Astyanax mexicanus: one gene and its partners. The protein of the gene in region 3 purifies or fractionates together with the protein of the main gene of each other region. This does not show direct contact. Links are inferred from orthologs where the notes say so. Each region holds a gene or a part of one and is shown on either strand. Other genes may lie near its edges. The genes, in order: polr2h, si:ch211-140b10.6 and polr3e.

Region 1 (7,685 bases), on a different chromosome or scaffold from region 3:
AGGGCAGCATAAGGCAAATTTTGTTAGAATGCAAGCTTTTTCATGAGTAAATAGACCCTTGAGTCCACCTCGAATCCATGCAGATTGTTGGCATCCCCCTGTAGTCGCATGAGTAGACCACCATATGATACATAAGCTGAGCTGTGGAAAACAGAATAAAGAAAGGTAAAGAAGGAGGATTAGAAGATTTTCATGTCACCACTACCATTCATACTGCTTAACTCACAATAGTTAAAAAGATCAGCTGCCTTTCAAATTGTGAGAGTATTTCAAGAATAGACCAATAGAACGGGGCCAATGAGACTTAAAATAAAACATATTACAAATACATATATTTATTTGGCCATATAATGGAATTTGAATGTTTCTCTCATTTTCTGAAATAAAAGAGCAATAGTATGGATTTAGTGTGTAAAAATAGCTAGTTGCTAGTTTCCAAGTCGGTAAACTAAGCCTGTTCTAAATTCAGTTTTTGTGATGTCACAAAGGCAATTGGATATACATTTATATTAATGAATTCAGCGTAGAACGTTTTCCCTGCTTTTTTTTACATTCAAAAAGACTGCTGTAGACAAAGAACACAAGGCAGCCAAACGTATCTGACTCTTAAATGCATAGTCTGCTTAATTTTTATATAGAGAGTTTGGACAATTGTGGTGTTTTTGATGCATAAACATTTATTTTCCTAATAGGACCTTGCAGGTAGATAGTTTTTTTTGTAGATAGGTTTTGCTATAACAGCAAAATATTGCATATCTGTGTGTTATGCATGCAGCTGCTGTGTGAATGTGATAAATGAAAAAGTTTCAAAATAACATGAAAGAAAATATTTTTACACAGAACTTAAAATGCATTAAAATGTGCAGGATGGTTTCTTGATATGTAAACTAATGAACACTTAAGAAATCAACTATATGTCGCATTTTGGGGTGCCAAACATTTGTATGATTGTAAATATATTCTTAAGTATGTGTAACTTTATAGGAAACAGAAAGATGACAATAATGACACTTGACACTTACAGTCGTGTAGCTGCTTCTGTTGAAGTCTCATCACCTTCAATTTTATATACTTTGCCATACATCACATAATCAAACTGATCCGCCCTGGAGAAAAAGAACACAGACTTAACATTTAAAAAGTAATCATTTCAGCACAGAGTATGCATTTATTGGTAATCATTTATTAAACATTTCTTTCTGCCAACTTATTATTATTTTTTTTTTTTTTGCAGAAGACTAATTTAATAAAACAAATACCATATATTGTTATGTACAGTAAAATGATACTAATATGTAAACAGGTTTTACCTGGATGGTCTGTCGTCTTGAGGGTTGTATTCTCCATCATCTGGAGTGCCATCTTCGTACAGTGTGCTAGCTATTACCAATCTGAATTTGTCCCCTGAAATAAAGATACAATATATTATTTAACTTATTTAAGATTATTAAACATGTTCCTTTACTCCCACAGAACAGGTGTGTAAATGTTCACACACTACTTTCATTTAATTATTTATTTATTTATTTATTTATGTTACCCATATCCGACTCTGTCTAAACGGTTTGCGTTTTATAAGAGACACGCATGCACCACAGAGCAATGCTTCATGTTAAGTTTCACTTTAATCCCAGTCAGTATTTCAGGAGCTATAGTTCAGGCTGTTGGTTTATAGCTGAAAATTCACTGGAGCCTTCCTAAAAAAAGGACGGTTAAATTTTAATTTATTTAGATTTTTTTTCCTTCTACGCTGCAGCTGCTTTCTGCAGCCATGTTTGGCCAATTCATTAGGAACACGGTGTGGCTGCTACCTGGGTCTTCCAATATTATTACAAACATAAGTTCAGATACTAGATCTGTTACCTAGTTTATCTGCCAATTAAGCCCTTAAATCACTGCTGCATTCCATTTTATTTTAATCTACTCACAGCCATTACTCTCAGTCCTTTTTCCTATACATTGCTGTAAAAGTCACATTAATTTCAGTCTATATGTTTATATAGTGCCACATTGCCATGCATTAGATATGTATAGCAATTTAATACCACAAATTGACGTGGCCCATTTAGGAAATGAAAATGTCATTCAACACATCTAGTCACATTTTGGGCCACAACAACAACACGTCTCCCTTACCAAGATCAACAGGATAGATCTGAGTATTCACATCCAGGATGAGGTCCATTTTAAAAGACTCACTCTCACAGTGAAGCCGAGACACTGGAAGAGAACAGATAAAATTAGCATTATCTCTGTGTGTTTGTGATCCAGATGGATTAACTCACAGTTTCTACAAGAACTGTTTGTTTTGTCACAATTCCCATACTGGAGCATCACTAACAAACGATAAATGGGTTAAAATTAGGATTTGCTGCAGGTTGGTCTCACCTCTGTCAAACTTCTTCCCATCTGGGTCGATATCTTTCACATCAAAAATATCTTCAAACAGAATTCCAGCCATCTCTACAGACCACTGCTGATCTGCCCAGGAAGCTCACTCTGATAAAAAAAAACACACACACAGCTGTACTGGTTAGTTAACATATAAATCAACATCTAACCAACTTTAAGACACATAAGATCATCTACAAAGAGGTAAACGAGAAAGCAGGAAGCTAGCCAGTTGACTGCTCAGTATAGTTAGCTAACTATATAACTAGTAAACTTCACGGAAAGGAACTTCACCATTCAACCCCAGCACTTTATTTAAACCACCATATACAGCCCCCTATACATCTACCCACTCTTATTAATTTATTAACTGATTATTTGTTTCAGTCTGAAACACAATCAGGCTCTTGGTTTATGGATGAATGTAAACATGTCATGTACTGTAGCTAGCTAGCTAGATAGATAGCTAGATAGCTATATACTTTATTGATCCCCGAGGGGAAATTTTGGACACAAAAGTAACTAGGAAACACATTAACTACAATCTTAGATAGCTAACCTAGCTTAGCCAACATTTCCCTGCAGTTCTGCTTGTTTTTCGATATCTACAAACTGCTTATTATAAGTCACTTACTTTAACACTATCGCCAAAGAGGAAAACATGTTAGTAGCTAGCTGGCTGGCTGCCGTGGTTAGCTAGCCTAACTAGATATGTAACTATGGACATGAATTTAGCCATTTAATCCCAGACCTTCAATTAAATCACTATATGGGTTATATTTGCCTAGTCTTATTCATATATCAATTAATGGTTGTTGATTCAGGCTAAATCAATACTTAGGCTCTTGGTTTATGGATAAAAGTAAACACTGGTTCCTGTAACGTTACTCTAAACAAGTTAGCTAGAATCTTAGCTAGCTAACCTAGCTTAGCCAACATTTTACTGTAGTTCAGCTTGTTTTGGATGGATAAAAAAACTCTTTATAAGTCGTTCACTTTACCACTAACTCCAAAGAAGAAAACAGGTAAATAGATAGCCAGATAGTTGGCTGCCCAGGTTAACAAACCTAGCTAGATATAAAACCCTGGACATGAACTTAACCCCAGACTTTTATTTAAATTACTACATAGGTTATATTTACCCACTCGTTTTATGTGTTAATTAACGCTGTTTGATTCAGTCTGAAACACACGGGGACTCTTGGTTTATGGATGAATGTAACGTTAGCTAAACACTGGTTCCTCTAAACACGTTAGTTAGCACCCTAGCAAGCTAGCTAAGCTAGCTTCGCCGGTATTTCCCTTCAGTTCTGCTTGGTTTAGGTAAAAAAAAAATAGTCTTTAAAAGTCACTTACTTTTAAGCTGATGCGCTTTAGTCACCAAATATGTTGAAACGCGTTCAGACACGGCGATAATCCGCGTGAATTTCTACTAAATTAAACCTCTGATAACAGGTTTCATTCATTTATTACTGAACTCCAGCGGAACACGCGCCTTACTGTTGATTCTTTACGGCTTCACGTGTACTTCCGGTGGCGCCGAAAGCATTTTTTATTTACACATACATTTTAAATATTTGTATATATTTTTTAATTATTATTTATTTACTTATTATCGTTATTATTATTGCAGCTCCAATAAAATTTAATCTTTGTGTAATTTAACACAAAACAATAATAATAATGCTGTCTCCGAACTCTGGCTTGGACTACATCACCTCGGACAAAAACTACAAATCCTCACGACACTTACATCCTCTTGCCGGATGGTGTTGCCAGGTGTAGAGCGTCCCAAAAGCTGTTACTATAGTGACTAACAGCACCAGCGCCTGTGAGGCTAGGCTAAGCTAAACTCCACTCGCTGCTTTTACGGACCTGCGCAAACATTTTCTGGCTTTTTAACCCTTCCGTTTTATAATATAAGGACATTTTTCACTTTGAGAAATGAGTAGTGATATTTTTATTGCATTTAAGGGTGTTTTTGACTGAGGTGAGTGCCGCGCGGTGTTTATTTACCTATGAGCATAGGGGCTAAGCTAACAGTGCAGCTAATGCTTTTAATGCTTTCTTTCAGAGTGTGGAGTTTGTTACACGCTTTACTGAGCTCTAAACGTTATATTACACTAATTTGCTAGCATGTTATCTATTTCAAAAACAACATAAGCTATCTAAGAAGGCGCTGCTAAACTGTTTAAACTGGTTAAACTGGCCAGCTGGGTTACTTAAACTCACTAGTATTTATGTCGATGGCTGTAGTTTGGTAGTTAACACAAGCTAGTATTGTTGGTTTTGGTTCTTTTTCTGTTCTTATGCTGAAAAATAAAATGCAAGACTACATTTTCGAGACTTACCATCAAACTGTGCCTAAAATGTGAGGATGCTCTTTTAATCTTATCTTGCTGCATTTGGATTGTATCCACGTGGTTGTTAAAAATTCATGGAGGCAAGGGTTTATCCTCCTATTTCCAAGAAAGTGGAGAACCTAAACCTTAAAAGCTGAGGTAATACAGCTTATATCTCTCGTTTGCAGACACAGAGCAGTTTATCTCTCTATGGCAGTGTTATCCTCAGGCAAAAAAACATATTTTGGTTATTACACCATTTCATTAAATTCTTATATTTTTATGTATTTATTTATCACTTTTGTTTTTATATACAATCTTCCAACACAGTGAGTCATAGAAGTGGACCATAAATAAAAATATGTATATGTGAAGAAATAAAGACATACATGTGCCTTTTTATGTTCTTAGTATTTTAGTGCACCTAGAAAATCAGAATATCATTGAAAATGTACTTTATTTCAGTAGTTCAGTTCAAAATGTTAAGCTTATATAGAAATGTATTACACACAGAGTGGTCTATTTTAAACGTTTGTCTTTTACTTTTGATGATTATGGCTTTCAGAAAAAGAAAATCGATGTCTCAGGAAATTTGTATTTTTTTCTTTTCATTCTGGTAACTCTGGCCACACCATGGCCACACCCTCAGCTATGGACACACTCTCAGCTATGGACACACTCTCAGCTATGGACACACTCTCAGCTATGGACACACACTCAGCTATGGACACACTTTTAGACTTACTAATGCCTATAATAATATTTTTATAGTTCTACCCTATTTTGCACTAGTAGTTCATTCACTAGTTCACTCATCTACTGTTTACGTATCTTTTGCACTGCTAAATTTAAATTATTATATAACTGTGTATTTGCACTTTCTGTGTGGCTGACATCAGTTTTCCTAAAGACACAATATCCATCCATCCATCCATCCATGTGCCAAGTCCTCTCCAACCCATTTCATTTGGAAATAAAGAGACCAAAGTCTGTAGAAAGAGTGGAGAGGCACACAGTTCAAACAGCTTGAGGTCTAGTGTGAAGTTTCCACAATTAGTGATGGTTTGGGGAGCTATGTCATCTGCTAGTGTTGGAAACCATTTTTTTTTTTTTTCATCAAGTCTAAAGTGCAGTTGTTTTCCCAGAAAATATTACAGCACTTCATGCTTCTTCCCTCTGCTGACAACTTTTATAAAGATGCGGATTCATTTTTCAGCAGGACCTGGCACACTGCCAAAACTGACACTGACTTTTGGGTGTTCATTGGCTGTAAGCCATAATCATCAACAGTAAAATAAACAGATCACTGTGTGTGTATCACATCTATATAATATATGAGGTTCACATTTCAAACTGAATTACTGAAATAAAGCAACTTTTTAATGATTCTATTTTTTTGAAATGCACTACTATTTGTTGATTTTGGGCAAAACTATGTCACATTTGTAAGGGCCCTCTTGATAACGCATGGGTGATTCAAAAAATCAGCTTGTTATCAAAACAATAAACAAGAGTCTGAAAAAAGTTGCCAAACAATAAAAATCTCCCAAATAGTTTCATGCAGTTTATCAGCATACTCTTCATACAATGGTGTGTTGAAGTAGGACAGTTATGTATTTAACTGATAAGTGAGCTAAATGATTGATCACTGTCTCTTCTTTTGCAGGTTGAGGATACATGACTTCCAGAAAGGCTCAAGAGATGGGGGACATTCTGGCAAATGAAGCAGATCTCCTTTTAATGATAAAAGAGGTCAGTCTGTCTGCATGTTAGATTGTTCAAATGGATGACTGGATGGTCACTTACCAATGCAGAGGTTTTTGATGGGCTACCACACTAAAATGTCTGCATTTGATTCACATTTTTAAATTTATTTGACCCTATAACCCCTTTAGTTTGCAGCATTGGACTTCACATTTCTTTTATATTAAGCTTGACACATATGAATTCTGATTGCATGCTCTGTATGTTGATGATTTTCATAGCCATTTCATAAGCAAAAGCATATGCTCAATGTAAAATTGATTATTTTCAGTACCTGAAGTTCTCTGAGTTTGAGGATACGGTGAAGATCTTTGAGAAGGAATGCAAGAGCAAAGGAAAACCTGTGCCAAAAACACCAAGCAGCCCTCCTGTAGACTCCAAAATCCTAATCATCCAGGTAAGGCTAATTCTGAAACATTGCTAGAGTGCTGGGAGAGTGTTTCATAGTGTGAAATGTCAGTACATTTGAAAAGCAAGATGTCCATGAAATATTGATGATCTAAAACACATTTACAGGGAGGAATGGTTTGAAATTCCGTAAAAGTTATTTAGAGCTGAATTAAACATTTGGTGGATTTGCTGGGTTTGGTGGTCACTTTTTCTAGCCTTCTAACATGAATGTTCAATCAATGTGCTGAATTAAAGAAACATGTACCATAGAGCTATATGGGTTTTCAGTATAGTTTTAGATAGTATTTGTCTATCCTTATGACTTGATAATGACCAGATCACGTTTTGTTAGTAACACAGAGTTTCATTGTTGCAGTAAAATACAATAAATTAACTTCTTAAAATGTGTTTTGTCTGCAGAAGGATCTGATCAGCTCATTCGATGATGGTGATATGAAGGTGTTTTTTGAACTGTGGGCAGAAAACGTCCCTGTGGATATTCGGGACAGTGATCCGAATGTCCAGAAACTGGAATTCTATCTACACATTCATTTTGTAATCTACCCACTGAAGAACAATGTTGGAAGACAGGTGAGAAAAATTAAAAATAAATTTAAGGCTTGGTTTTCCAGATAGGGATTAAAGAGGCACTAAAACCTAAACCAATTTTTTTGTTCTTTAACATCTGAAATGTGGTACTTTGAAATTGTGAAACATACCCGTCCTGCTTTTCCTAATCTTTAAAAAACACTTTTATTGTGGTCATTTCTGCCTCTGCGGCACCGGCTCAGGTTCAAC
Region 2 (7,685 bases), on a different chromosome or scaffold from region 3:
ACTGAGAGATTAATTGCTGTACACAGCAGTCTAGACTTATAAGGACTCTTCCTCTCCAGCGGTGCATTATTTTGGAGTCCGATCTCTAGATTTCCTGAGCGCTGACCGGTCTCTGACAGGTGAGCGGGAGCGGGTCCTGTTTGATTGATGGGGAGAGTGGTCTCTGGATGCTACAGCACTCCTAGAGGATGTGTGGTGCCTTTCTGAGTGAGAACGAGAGCGGGTGTGTTCTGTCCTGTGTTCTCTGTCTTTTCTATGTCTGTGCTCTTTGTCTTCACTGTGACGATGTTTATCCCCGTCCCTCCTGCGAGTGTCTCCTCTCCTTTCTGTAGCTGCCTGGCCAGCAGAGCGGCACTCCAGAGCAGACGAGCGCAGGGTGTTCAGCAGGAACCGTTTGTTGGTGCTTCCCAGAGGGCACTTCATCCTATCAAACATAAAATATACATTATACTGTTTGTGTGCTAGTTCATTATTGTTAACTAGTTCATAGTCATTACCTAACGGCACACATTAAAATCAAAGCTCTTATATGCAAGCAATAACATACTCTCGGTAGTCAGCATACTCACAAGAGTATACCAACACTGCATCAGTATTAGCACCGATACTTGCTCTTACACACAATATCGGCTACAACAGAAAGCTCCGATACTATACACCTCTAGGTACTTGAGTCGTAAATGCTGTTATTTCAAGCTTATTATATTTGAGATAAAGAATATATGAAAAATGATACACTGTAAACAGTGTGTTATCGAATAAAAATAGTCATTTAGAGCATCTATTTGCAGAAAATGAGAAATGGCTAAAACAACAAAAAAGATGAAGAGCTTTCAGACTTCAAATAATGCAAAGAAAATAAGTTTACATTTATAAAGTTTTAAGAGTATTAATATTTGGTGGAATAACCCTGGTTTTATCACAGTTTACATGCATCTTGGCATGTTCTCCTCCACCAGTCTTACACACTGTTTTTGAATAACTTTATGCCACTGCTGGTGTAAAAATTCAAGCAGTTCAGCTTGGTTTGATGACATGTGATCATCCATCTTCCTCTTAATTATATTTCAGAGGTTTTCAATTTGGTAAAATCAAAGAAACTCATCATTTTAAGTGGTCTCTTGTTTTTTTCCAGAGCTGAATATTATGCTATGATTTTAGAATGCAATAAATATAGTATGCTATAATAGTCTCAGATTGTATAATATATTGTTATAAAATACATTTGATTTTCAAAAGAAAAAGTATTAGAAGAAAATAAAAAAAACACAATACAGCAACAAATATTTTCACATTTTAACCAGTTACTACACACTGGTTGTAAAAAGGTTTTGTAGAATTGACCTATATTTCTCCATCGTATGGTAAAGGCAATTGTTTAGGGTTATAGATATAGAAATTATATCTATGCTAAAATAAAAAAGAAAATAAGAACATAAATAGTTAATAAACATTTATGATGTAATTAGTATTCATTAACACTAAGCTGCTAATGCTTACATGCACTGTACAAATTGTTAATATACCGTACATCTGTGATCTGTTTACAAACATTTAGTGCAATATAATTTACACAACAGTTCTGACTTATCTTATATATTTTAAACTACTAATTACACAAATTAAGACAACCTAAATACCTAAGCTGTCAATCACTTAGAGACCATATTTTGACAAACGTTTATTGATTAGTAAAGTAATTACCGATGTCACTTTAATTGTCCCCCTCTGGCTGAGCTGCAGTTCCTGCTTATACACATATTTATTCATATTTATTGTATTTACAGTTCCTGTGCCTTCTCTTTGTGCTCTGGCTGTCGTCTTTACACTACTTACTACTACTACTACTACTACTACTACTACTACTACTACTACGTACCCTTTTATCCATTTCTATCATTGCACTTGAGAGGCAGCCTAACAACTTTACACTGCACTGTATGGGTGTATTGATGATAATGTTGTATTAAATAAAACTGAATACGATTAAATATTGTCCACCCCTGCTTTATGCTTTATTCAGACAAAGCTATAGAAATTCATGTACTGCTGCTGAAAAGACAATTCAATAAAAGTGGATCACACCTGGACTTCACATGGAACAATTTTGGTTGGTTTATTTACTCAATAAACAAAAAGTTTAATGTATCACTGCTAACATTTACCATGTTAAGCCCACGACTGTTGAAACATGTTTTTTGGATTTTCTGCAAGGTGTGCATTGAATGCGGACACTTCCTCCTATCTATCTTTGTCTGTAAAGATGACTGCATCCACACAATTTTTTGTATATTTTGCTCCTTTTTCTTCTGCATTCATTTTTTTACCTGTCTGTTGCTCAACATTTGTAAAATGATACTATTTAATGGAAAAAAAAAAAAATCCATCAGAATTAATAAAAACAGGTTATAGACACCAATGACTCACCACCCCGCTGGCCCCATGGTCTCTGCCCGTACTTTGGCTCGACTGGCCTCTTTCAGGAGTTCTTCAACTGCACGTCTGTGAGGAGGAGAATGGATTAATTCTTCAGTGTCCATAAAACAGACAACAGGAAATGAATGCACGTGTGTGTCCTGCAGCGACCCAGTCCAGCAGCTGAGTCACCACCTCTTAGTGGCATCACCAACTGTCCACAGCTGCCCTTTGACCGCAGTTCACAAAACAGGTGCCCGAGAAACTTGCTGCCTCAGCGGCAAGAACACAGTCCATTCCTCACACATAGCACACCCACTGTATCAGTGTCAGAGGAAAGGAGTAACTAATAACATTTAAATAATTACATGTGCTCAAGCACAGCTTTGATTTGTCCTTCTCTGAGTGTTTTTTAGATAATACTTTTACTTTTTGGGTAAACTTGACGTAATTAATTTCAATTTCCATTAATATTTCTATCAATTAAAATATAATTTTTGTGCTAATACAGTAAGAATGTTGTATTTTGCTTTTGATTCTGTTTAATGCATCTACTCAAGTATGGGTTTATGCTACTCTACCCTCCTCCAATCAGTGGTAATCAACCCTTTAGAGTTTAGGTCCAGCCCTATTCTGCTCCAGCTTTAGCTTCTAATGTTTTCAGAATGCTTGGACAGGCTGCCTTCAGTGTTTGTTATCACTGAATAGGATCAACAAAGGGGTCTGGTGTATCGAATGTGTTTTGGAATCAATATCTGCTGTAAAGAGGATCTCCAGGTTGGTAACAGTTTTCTGTAAGACTAAACTGTACATATAGAATATTTATAGTGCCAATCCACTTTAAAATAATGTTCTTATTATATTATCTGAATATACTGCACAATTATATGCATTATTGTACAAAAAAATGCTGAATAAAACATTTATTTCTATACACTTATATATTTTTTTGTTTATTTATCAGAACAGAATCTTTTTACATTAAGTTACATTAAATACTAAGAACATGTTCATACTTTTCCCCTACTGCCAATTTACCATTTGGAGACAACTGTTTTTAGGACAATAAGCCTTTGCTATTTCAAACTGCAACAGGCACTAATTCTCATCTGCTACTGTTAGTGTACCGCAACTGTGCTGCACTATGTTACACACATAATTACTTTTTTTTTTCTAAATAGGCAGTAACTATCTACATTTCTAATAACATTGACTGTTTAACACATCAATCATATTTAATGTCAATGTGTGTGCTGTGTATTAAATACAGTATTTGAATGTAAAAAGGTTGCATATTTTGCAACCAAAATTATTATTGAGAAAAAAATAATTATTTGGGTGTTTAGCCAAATAAGACCACATAATTTAAACAAAAAATATTTGCAATAGAAAAAATGCTTTTAAGCTATTGCATTATGCAATAGCTAAAAATGTGGTAAAATTAATGAATACCTGCAAATTAAAACACGTTTGATATTTAGCTAAATATTTCATTTTGTACAGTTTCAAACAAAAAAATATTCAGTGTACCCCTAGTTTGTAGCTAACCAGTTACTGGCAATGAAAAAAGTGTTATAGAGGAGAGAAGAGAGTTCAGGGGGGGCAAGAACAGAAATAAGTAAATAAAAGTCAGTTCTATTTTTATTTATTTTTTGCTAATTTTGTTACTATTACCGATAAATGTTCTTAACTGGGATATAAAACTGTTATAAAAAACAAATAAATCATAAATGTTACAATATTATTAATGACTTAAAGATAAATAGCAATACGGATAATAAACCCCTTATAAACATAATACTAAGTCGTACACTAATAGTTGTTTTGCCATTTGCTTCAATCCTGTGACAGACAGATATTTTGGGCTAGTTTAAGCTTCTGAAGGGCGGGTTTTAGACTGAGTTTGGGCTGAATATTTTTCTTGGACCTGGCAACCCTGCCCTGCTGTCAAGTGATCAGTTTGTAGCTTAGCTAGTTAACTTACCTCTGTTATGAAGCCAAAGCAAGCTAATTAACTTAGTTAGCTAACCTACGTTATGTTAACGTTAACTAGCTACACTTAAAATTCACCACACAGATCAGTTCGAGATCCAACATCTCCATTAGGTTTTCGTTATTGCAAAAATATGCGATTTAAATCATGTAATCAAACCAGATGTAAGTGAATTAGCCTGAATATTCAGGTAACTAGCTAGGTTAATGTTTTCATGTTCAGTTCTGCAGTAATAGACGTTAAGCTAACAGGCTAACACTGCTTTCGCTCAGCATTAAAATCCCATTTCCCCGATTAAATCACATTTAAACAGCTTAACATCGTCTGTTAAACGACCTACCTCTCCAACTCACTGGCTGTATCCTTATCCATCACACTGACGGACGATTTTAACTTCCAGTTACAGCGATTCCTCTATTATTGCTTAGAGACTACAAAGACTACAAATTGTTTTCACCCGTGAGGACCCAATTTAGGACCAATAGCTGAGCGGCTGTGTGCCTGAACGAATGAGCGCTGAAATAGTAGAGAATCGTAGTGCAGTTTCTAAATACAGCAATGACATTAGTTAATTTTTGGACTGAAATGTGTATGTGTGTGACTAGACTTGGGAAATAAATAGTAATTATGCGTATTACGATCTGTGACAGGGCAAAACCCAGCATGTAGGTCGTGTTTTGATCAGGCGGGGCAGAGGGCGCGATTTGGCTGGTCAGACCGACAGCCGGAGAGAGAGGCTGGAGTGAGCTGAAGCAGCGGAGAGGAGCCGCAACTGATGGCCGAGAAGGACGGAGCCTGCTGGGGGAGATCTGAGGGGCGAAGGGGCGGCTGAGCGTGGGGGCTGGGGGTGGATGTGACCGAGAACTACTAGGTGACTGGAGCACGAGCACGAGGAGAGAGGTAGGAGGATGCAGGATGAACAGGGACACTGTTGTCTTTTGTTGAGGGTTAATTGGAGGGATGGAGGGATGGATAGATGGATGGAGGTTGTGATGTGAGAATGGAGGATGTATGGTGATGTATGGTGGTATGATGTAGGATGGAGGAATGGAGGCTGTTGCATTGAAGAATGCAGGTTGTGTTTGGGGGAATGGATGCTAGGGGTTGAATGGGTAATTAATGAGGGTGAACTGGGTGGGATGTCTGCATGTCTAATGTAGATTTAAAGGCTGTCAGTGCTGTTAAAACTGTGCATTAATGCGAGGATGTGGTATAAGGGAATGAGGGTGAAGTTGAGAGCATGTCTGAACTGGATAAAGCTGGCCAGCAGCATTCTCAGATGAGACATTGCATTAGGAAGGTGTGTGGCTGAGGAATGCAGCCTCTGTGCAGCCTGTGTGTTTAGGGTAAGTGGGATGCTTTTGTTTAGGGGGATGCTGCTGCTCCTGGATGCTTTTTGTTTAGGTGATGAGGTGGGATGCATTGCTATGAGCATTTAAGTGACTGTATTGATAATATGTGTTAGGGCACTGGTGGAGAATGCGGGTTGAAAAAGCATGTGTGTGCCTTGTTTTTTTTATAGGGATGCCTGCTTTGTTCAGAGGGGGGTGCATGCTTTGTTTTAGGGGGACCAATGGGATGTATGTAGGTTGGCTGATGAAGCTGTGTGTTTATGGGGATGGATGCTGTGTTTTGTATAGGTAAGCTAGGGGGTGGATGCTACATGTATAAGGGAATGCATGCTATGTATGTGTGTCTGTGTGTGTTTATGGGAATGGATGCTATGTATATATGGGAATGCATGCTTTGTTTGTTTATAGGATGGATGCTCTATATGTTTTTTTATGTTTGGTAGAGTGAAGGACATGGAATGAAATTGCAAATGAAATGGATGCTAACCAGGTTAGCATGTCCAGGACAGAGCTTGTTAGTGAAGCTAATATGTTGCATTAGGAGAGACTGTGTGATTGAGGAAAGGCTGCCTCTGCATTAAGGGGGAATGTGTGTGAGGCTGTGTGCTTGAGTGAATGGACTCTGTGTTTGGGAGAATGGAGAGTGTGTGACTGGTGACACATCCTCCATTCCCCCTCAAACACACAGCCTCCAATGAGCTTGTGACGTCAGGCGTCATCATTCTGTCAGGGTTTATTATGCTGTTTCTGCTGCTGACTAAGACAATAGCCTTCAATCTGCACATCATTTTAGGCGACTCTCCAGAAATGGCTGCATGTTACGTACTGCTGCTCTCTGCCTAGATCAACCTGGTTTTGGGGTAGATTTAGGGCAATGAACGATGCTCTTCAGAGAATGAAACCTGAACTGAAAGGGAATAATTGAATCACTGAGAGGTAAACAAAGTCATACAGAGTGGTTTGAAATGCTCTATCTTTAATAGTAACTTATGGCCTTGGATCACCATGGGGTCACTATGTCTATAACACAAATATAACAAATTTCTGCACTATTTAAAGCCACCAGTGAACATACAAATGTTTTTTTTTTGTGAATGAGTTTCATATAAATGAGATCCCTAATGGAATGATGATGGTGAAACAGCAGTACATACCCTCATCATCAAAGAAGTGGTTATAAAAATAGTTGCACTCAGAAGGAAGTGTTAAGTTGCAATGACTGATATGAACAATATCAGTCAATATTTGTCATATTAATTAGGCTACACACATACAAGACTAGTTTGTTATCCACGTGTATCACAACATGCCAGACTTCTCTGCATGGAGTTGTAGAGGTTCCTAATGGTGGCATGCGATAACCCATCTCATGCAGCATGAATATTCTCTCCCAGTTCCTGCAGATTTTGTGGTGGTTGGGTGGAGTGTCCCATACATTTTCAGTCTGGGAGAAGTCTGATAATCTGGCTGGCCATGGCATAGTATCTGTGTCTTCAAGGCAAGCTCTTAAGACAGCAGCAGCAGTGTGTATGAGCATTGTCCTGTTGGACATATAGTGTGCCAGAGTGTGCTTTCAGAAAAGAGCAGGACCACTGGTTGCTGAATTTTACTAATACTAGTAACGCTGGACTGTTAACACGCCTGTAATGAAGACAAAAGGTGATTTGGCATCTTAAGAAATTGCACCCCACACTAGGTGCCCATGACACCTGGTCCTCTGGATGTATGCCTCGTGACAGTAAACCATTGACCTTGGCACTGACTGACAGTGAATCACAGTGTCTTACATGGATTTGTTGGTTGTCTTCACCAAGACAGCAGTCTGGCATGACTACCCACCATATTTTATTCCTGTTGGTTAATTTCTTCTGAGTGCAGCAAGATGAAGATGAACATATACAAAAATAGGTTTTAGGCCAAAGTCT
Region 3 (7,685 bases):
CCTCTTGTATAATCGGGTCATCCTCCTCTCCGCTGGCCATTGTTAAAGGACGAGGAGGAAACTTTGCCTCAGGCTTATGAACTCCGAACCAGGAAATACAGAACTGATGAGCTGGTCACAGCAAACCATGCAAAGGCTGTAAACATAAATACAAAAATAATAGAGATTTAGGCAAAAAATGTTTGTGGCATGTCTTTTATTTAATGGGCTTTAACACATTGCTTGTTTGGCCTGGATTTTATTAGAATAATAGAACTTCAAGGTAAAAAAACTTGTTTAGACAGGGCCTAAAGGAGGTTAAAAGGAAATAGTGGGTGAAAGGAGAAAAGGAGTCTCTTAAAAATAGGGAGGGACGCTCCTGATCTGGTAGTAGAAGAAGGTTTGTTGCACCATTGTGGAACTCTGTATGATAACAGTCTGGATTGCTTTGTGTGAATGTTTAGCAAAGCCAAATTGGAGGAGCGCAGCGGCCGGGAGGTAGCGTAAGCCTTCAGGAGTGAGTGCAGGTAGGAAGGAGCTGTTCTGTCATCACCTTGTAGGCGATTGTAAGAGCTTTGAATTTGATACGAGCAGCAACTGGTAGCCAATGGAGCTCAATGAGCAGTGGGGTGAAATGTGCCCGTTTTGGCTGGTTGAAGACCAGACGTGCTGCTGTGATTTTAAAACACAGGCCAGGAGGCCCGTTAGTATGGCATTGCACTAATCGAGGCACGAGACGATCACTGGTTGTACCAGGAGTTCGGTGGCCTGTTGTGATAGAAACGGTCAAATTTGTCTGATGTGGTAAAGTGCATAGCGGCAGGATCAAGCAACTGCTGGTCATCAACCATAACACCCAGGTTCCTAGCAACCTTTGTCGGGGGGAAAGAGAGAGCACACGAGTCTGTGGTTATGGTGAAGTCAAGACCAAGTTGGGCTTCCAATACAGGCCACATCATTACAAGCACCTTAAGGTGCTTTTACACTCGCTTTGTTTGGTCTAGTTGTTTAAACTTTTCAGTTTGCGTCCGAAACAAAACAGCAGGTTTGACATAAGCTGTGAACCACAGTCCAGAACAAAAAGACTGAACCATCGACTGAACCATGGTCCGGTTTATCTGCAGTGTTCAAACTTTCAGACCAATTACAGAAAGTTGAGGCAGTCTTTAAACAAACCAGATTAACGCTTAGACTGGTAATTCATTGACTTAACAGTAGATCGAGCCTCATTTAAAAACAGAAATAAAAGGAATCTGAGGACAATCTTTTACACTCTTTCTGCTGCTATGGATGCGCATGTGTCCGCAAAGGGAAATCGGATTCTGACAGAGAGCTAGATTTTGTCACAACACCTGGCAATTAATATGCAGTATATAGAGAAGCAGCTCACGTAGATGTAGCTGATATCGACTGGGTGTAGTAAAAAATTCTTTATTCCGCTCATTAAACTGCAGCGTGAAACAAAAATTATCCAGAACATATGTATACAACCGAACAAAGACATGAAGATTAGTGCAGACTCTGGTCTGGGCTTTCAGGTGTGAAAATGTCCTGAGTCCCACAGGTGTCCAGCGTAGGCCCCAGTGCACAGTGTTAAACCCATATAGGGCCCCCATTGTTATGCTTTCCTGGGCACATCACTGACTCTGAGCACTATCTATATGTAATGCCAACATGGAACCCACACACAAAACCAGCTTGTTTCTAGTTGGCCTAACCATACAAGCCCTATTCTTTTTGTTATGGAAGCGGTAAAAACTAGCCAGCGTCTACACCTGGAACATTTTACCACCAGAATGAGCGTTTACTCTGTTTTGTAGAACTTTAGCATTTTAAATCAAACTATTCTGTATAAGGGGTGGGAAATAGAAACGTACTATACATCATATCATGAAATTTGTATTCAATTCACTTTCTCCGTGAAATCATAGATATCCTCGATGCTTAAAGGACACTAATACCAACTACCATACCATACCAACTATCATAAAAAGTAATTAGCCCTGATTAATTGAAATAACAGTTTTTAAGAAACTACGGCTGCTGGTGTATTTTTTGGCATGCTAGAATATACTATATAATTAACTGTAAAATGAATATTGAAGTCATTAAAGCTATACAAAAACATGGATAACTCTAAATAGTAAACAAAAGTGTTAAAAAACCCAGAATATATGTTTTATACTTTAGATTCTTATAAGTAGACACATTCAGCTTTGAGGACAGATCTGCACACTGTTCGTATTTTCTCACGAGGGAGAGTCACCTGGAATAGTTTTCTCAGCATATTGAAGGAGTTTCTGGAGGTGCTGAACAATAATTGCTGCTTTTCCTTCACACTGTGAAGCTCCAGCTCATCACAAATTACCCATAATTTGTGTTTAGGTCCGGAGATTGAGGAGAACAAACACTTTTTACTGTTTACTATGTAATTCCATGTGTTCTTTATTTGTTTTGTCGTGTTATTATATCTATCTATCTATCTATCTATCTATCTATCTATCTATCTATCTATCTATCTATCTATCTATCAATCAACCATTCACATGCACACTCAAAGCTGACAGCACGTTTCATCTTTTTCAAGCTGTTGAAGGTGGAATATGAAGCTAGACTAGCGTTGATTTTGCTGTAAGACTCTTAAACTCCACCTAGTCAACACACTGACACTTTACAAGGACATTTACATATTAAAACAACACTGTCACTTCACACTCTCACTGAGACACAATCATGTTATTGCTCTTCATTCACACCATCAAGCTGCTATAGCACAACTTGCACTCTGGACTTAATGTTGCTGCTACTTGCATACTCTCCCTATTTTGTGTATTTATATTTATATATTTTTCTTTTTTATTTTGTCTTATATTTATCATTTTAAACAATTGCTCTTTTGGGTGTAACTGGATCATGAGAATACAATTTTGTTCCACCTCATGTACCACATGTGATGTGAATGACAAAGTCTCTGTGACTCCTTGAATTTTTTGCCATTAAACCTATTTGTTATTAAAAAGAAATGCAATCATTATTTTATCCATATACAATATTGCTATGAATAATACAATTATGTGTAGGGATTGGCACCAATAACACAAATCTAAGTGTTTAACACTGATTTATTTTTTCACATTTGAATACCTATTATCAACAGCTTAGTCTAAAAGAAGAAACTTTGTGATTAATCATGATTAATCACAGAATTCTACAGTATAGTTTAATATTAATCTACATTTTAGAAAAGAAGTAAAAGAAGAGAACAAGAAGAAGGAAAAACATGGAATGAGAAGATGTGTCCACATGTTTGGCTGCTACTGTGTCTTAAAGTCTTTTACATCCACACCCATGTCTACTCTGCATGACTAACACATTTAAGCATAACTAAGTAGGCTAAAGTAAGAGTTAGATAACAGCCAACATCATAAAGAGCAGAAGATTCACTTTGAAAGATCTCCTGTAGCTAATCAGCCACATAAGAACTACATAACAACATAAAGGGGATCTAGATATTTTGTGACCATTTAAAATCATTTGTAAATAGTTAATACAACTGATAACAGAACGAAACTACACGTTCATTCCCATTTAACGTTAGACAGGCTGCTTTAGTTATCTTAGAATTTAATTCACAGATACCAGAACACGTGCACACGTCAGGATCTGATCTGTAGCTAGACTGGACGTTTTTGAGTAGTTAGCTAAGGCTATATGAACTGATCACACAATAAATGCATTTTTATGATTGTAAGTTACTCATAATGGGCCTCATAAAAGACGTTTTCACACTACTGTCCATGGTGAGTCGAGCTCTCTCCTTCACTCCTGCATCTGTCACTCGTGTCTACATGCATGTATCCCAACAAACAGGGTGGTGGGTATTTTCAAACACATTAATCTCGAATTACAGGTAGCCATGTTACCCCTGTTAGCTACATTTCAGAACAATTCAACACGTTTATCGTCAATTAAAGAATAACCAAGCTAACAACTAGACTTTCCAGCTACAGCTCTAAGTTTAGCCAGGGAGCTAGCGTTAGTGAGCTAGGTTAGGTTAGCTAACGCTGTAGCTCAGTCCATAGTAGCTACAATACAACAATCACGTTTCCAGGCCTCAGTTCCCGAAACAATATAAGACTTTATTAATAGATAAAGAATAAATCCCGACCTGAGATTCACTAGGAGAACCGGACCGGAAGAAGCTTCCCCGGTCTGGGAGTAGAGCTGAGCGGGGTGAATTTGTCAGAATCTGCGCTCTACTTCCATGTTGCTGATTCCAGGGCTTCCTACAGACAGACACGTGGGGAGGAGCTGTGTGCTTTGTCTCTTCCCATGATGCAATGCACAGTCAGGCCGGCAGAGTTGCCAGGTCCAATACAATTACCCAGCCCAAAGTCAGTCTAAAATCCTCCATTCGAAAGCTTAAACTAGCCCGTGTTTAATATACAGCTCTGGGCCACTTAAAATATGGATTTCTTGGATTTTATCAAATTGAAAACCTCTGGAATATAATCTAGGGGGAAGATGAATGATCAACAAGTCATCAAACCAAGCTGAACTGATTGAATTTTTGCACCAGGCACAAAAAGTACAAAAGCAGTGTGTAAGACTGGTGAAGGAAAACATGTGAAGATGCATGAAAAACAATATTTGGTTATTGCACCAAATATTGATTTCTGAACTCTTGAAACTTTATAAATATGAACCTGTTTTTTTTTTTTTTTTTTTTTTTTTGCATAATTTGAGGTCTGAAAGCTCTGCATCTGTTTTGTTATTTCAGCTATTGCCCATTTTCTGCAAACAATACTCTAAATGACAATATTTTTATTTGGAATTTGGGAGAAATGTTCTCCGTAGTTTATACAACATTGTTTATTGGGATGTATTGCTATTTATCTTAAAGTAATTCATAATATTGTAACATTAGTGTTTTATTAGTTCTTTTATAGCAGGTTTATATCCCAGTCAAGAACATTTAACAGTAACATAATTAGCAAAAAAAAACCTTTTCTTTCTCATTTCAGTTCTTGCCTCTACTGAACTCACTTCTCTCGCCCTTTAACAATTTTTTGATCGTTTTGTGATTTCTGGTTACGTAGTGATTTCTCTCTCTCTCCCTCTCTCTCTCTCTGTCTCTCTCTCTTCCTCCTTCTCTCCTTTTCCCGCTGTTCATGTCGTTATGTTCTACTGGTTTTTAATGTTGTAATTTGAAAGTAGCCTATACAAAAGCACCCCGCCACCCCGCAACTAGATTTTCAAACAAGCACAATTTGGTGGGAAAAGCAGAAACCTGGCAACTCTGCTGGCCGGCTTCATCGGTTCAGAGCCTGTTTATGGAGAGCATGCCCACTTCATATTACACTTCATACATAATTAAATTACTGACAACCGCGAGGGGGGAGTCCGGGAGTAATTAAAAAGAGTAATTAAAAAGATGAATAGAGCTAAATGCTAAAAACGCAAATAAAAATGGAATTACAGTTTTTCTCGATAATTTGCACAAAAATATTGGTGCATGAGACACATAGACCACAACATGTAACTTAGGCACCGATCCCCTGAACCTGTTCTACTAAACTACAAGCACAGTTCCTGCTTTACACTCAAATTGCAGTTCTAAAACGCTAGTTACGTACGTAACTGTGGTCATGTGAATAGTGGATGACGGCCAGGGCGGTGCTTAATGTGAATGTATCACTGCCGTGCCCACGGCAAACCGAGAGTAGTATACCAACGAAGTCACTCACGTGACACAGCGTGTGACGCATGCAGGGGTATAATACCCCCTGGCACTCGCTGCTCCTCCTCAAGTCCTGGTTCTTCTTGCAATCCGAGTGACCAAGAACCCTGGCGGTCATCCACTATTCACATAACCACAGTTACATACGTAACTAATGTTATGTTTCATAGTTCCTGACCGCCAGGGCGGTGCTTAATGTGGATAAAGCATACCAGCGATGTCACGAGGAGACTCCGGACAGAACCGCCGTAGATAAGCCCTCAGCGGCTGCCACATTCATACTGTAGAAAAGAGAAAATGTGCATGGTGACGACCATGTGGCTGCTGCACAAATCTCCAGTAGAGACACTCCTCAAAGCGCAGCCCAGGATGTGGCGATACCTCGAACAGAATGTCCTGTAGTCGGGGCAGATAGGGGACGATCTGCAGCCCTGTAGGCCCCTTGAATAACCTCCACCAGCCAGTGGAATAGTCGCTGCTTCGAAAGTGGTTTTCCCAACTTTGCAGCAGAGAAACAAACAAACAGCTGATCCGTCTGACGAAAGCTGGGGAACAATAGTCTGTAGAAGAAGGGGAAGAAGGGGGAAGAAGGAAAAAGAGAAAAAAGAGAGAAAAAAAGGAAAAAGAAAGAAAATAGGGGAAAAAATGAGAAGAAAGGAGGATTGTACTTTGATTTTTGTCATTAGAAAGACATATGTGCGTTTCTAAGCATAAGAAATCGACACGTTTTATATTGCATTGGTTCCTATGGGATATGAATCCGGCGGCGTGGGTTCGATTCCCGCTTCTGTCACTTTGTAACATGAGAGGTTTAATTCGCTATTGGTCATACATACGTGAATATTTGTGGCTGCAGGCCAGTTTTAACACACAGTCTACGATCAAAAGTATCTTAATAATCAAAATGAATCCTAGTCCTACTACTAATAATAACATTTCCTCTGAATCTCCATCTGGCAGCACCCTAAAGACTCTAAATGATTATTTATATTGTTTTACAATGTGTCTTGCATTTAACATTTAAATGTATAAATGTATACCACTGTATCACTATTGTATCTTGACATTGTGACAAATGTAACAATCAATAAAAGTTTTAAAATGTGGCTTCTTCCATGTTTTACACTGGTATTTGTAAATTCAAGTAACACACAAAACAATTAAATGTATTTATATTTCAATAGATTTATTTTTCAATCACAGTTGTATTAAAATATTTAAAAATTAAAAAGGTAAATATTTACACCATTCAACTCAAAGACTGATGTGTCTCACAGCTACGCGGTGTTCCTAATGAACTGGCCAAACTCTAAATGATTAAATGTATTACTGTATTAAAATGATTTAATACAAACCATTATGCTCCTTAAGTCCATCACAGTCAAATATTCCGCCGAAACTGAGGCCACGGACGTTACAGTACATAAATTGCCGCGATGAGCGCCCCCCTGTGGCGACAACGTCCTCCAACTCACTCTCCGATTGGTCAGTTGTTGAGCATGTTGAAGGCTGGGGAAGAATGGGGGGAAATGATTGGCTGCAGCTCGCTCGAAGCATGGATTTGATTGGTCGTGTTGTTGAATGTTGTACAAATGTTGGGTATGTTGACAGACTAACCAGCGGCTGCCAGGGTCCAGTCTCTCTGGAGGCGTGGGTTCGAATCCCACCGCTGCCATGAGTGCTTTTGAACGTCTTCGATGCACAACTGTCTGCTTTCTGAACTTAACCTAGTTGTTTGGCGCATTTTGGGCTTGTTGTTTTCTGAGATGGTAACTCCATATAAAAAAATAAATTTAGTTTGCAGGAGTAGCGTGGACGAGCGGTCTAAGGCGCTGGATTAAGGTTCCAGTCTCTTCGGGGGCGTGGGTTCGAATCCCACCGCTGCCATCAGTGCTTTTGAACGTCTTCGATGCACAACTGTCTGCTTTCTGAACTTAACCTAGTTGTTTGGCGCATTTTGGGCTTG

What was found.
Region 1: the proteins of polr3e (region 3) and polr2h purify together in Homo sapiens (affinity purification with mass spectrometry; 3 studies listed by BioGRID and IntAct, with this or other methods). This does not show direct contact. The link is inferred for Astyanax mexicanus from reciprocal best matches to the Homo sapiens genes POLR3E and POLR2H.
Region 2: the proteins of polr3e (region 3) and si:ch211-140b10.6 purify together in Homo sapiens (affinity purification with mass spectrometry; 3 studies listed by BioGRID and IntAct, with this or other methods). This does not show direct contact. The link is inferred for Astyanax mexicanus from reciprocal best matches to the Homo sapiens genes POLR3E and POLR1D.

What each region holds. Positions count from the first base shown.
Region 1 is NC_064423.1:25,661,364-25,669,048, forward strand, and holds the start of polr2h (DNA-directed RNA polymerases I, II, and III subunit RPABC3), read right to left. Parts: upstream 3,932-7,685; 5' UTR 3,748-3,931; intron 2,500-3,747; 5' UTR 2,462-2,499; coding exon 2,389-2,461; intron 2,221-2,388; coding exon 2,137-2,220; intron 1,405-2,136; coding exon 1,311-1,404; intron 1,107-1,310; coding exon 1,023-1,106; intron 142-1,022; coding exon 24-141; 3' UTR 1-23. Other genes in the region: lisH domain-containing protein ARMC9, read left to right, coding at 6,411-6,485, 6,769-6,894, 7,308-7,478. UniProt on the Homo sapiens protein: DNA-dependent RNA polymerase catalyzes the transcription of DNA into RNA using the four ribonucleoside triphosphates as substrates.
Region 2 is NC_064408.1:96,429,256-96,436,940, reverse strand, and holds the start of si:ch211-140b10.6 (protein POLR1D-like), read right to left. Parts: upstream 4,878-7,685; 5' UTR 4,781-4,877; coding exon 4,749-4,780; intron 2,503-4,748; coding exon 2,428-2,502; intron 425-2,427; coding exon 67-424; 3' UTR 1-66.
Region 3 is NC_064422.1:28,327,974-28,335,658, forward strand, and holds the start of polr3e (DNA-directed RNA polymerase III subunit RPC5), read right to left. Parts: upstream 4,300-7,685; 5' UTR 4,148-4,299; intron 137-4,147; 5' UTR 41-136; coding exon 2-40; intron 1-1. UniProt on the Homo sapiens protein: DNA-dependent RNA polymerase catalyzes the transcription of DNA into RNA using the four ribonucleoside triphosphates as substrates.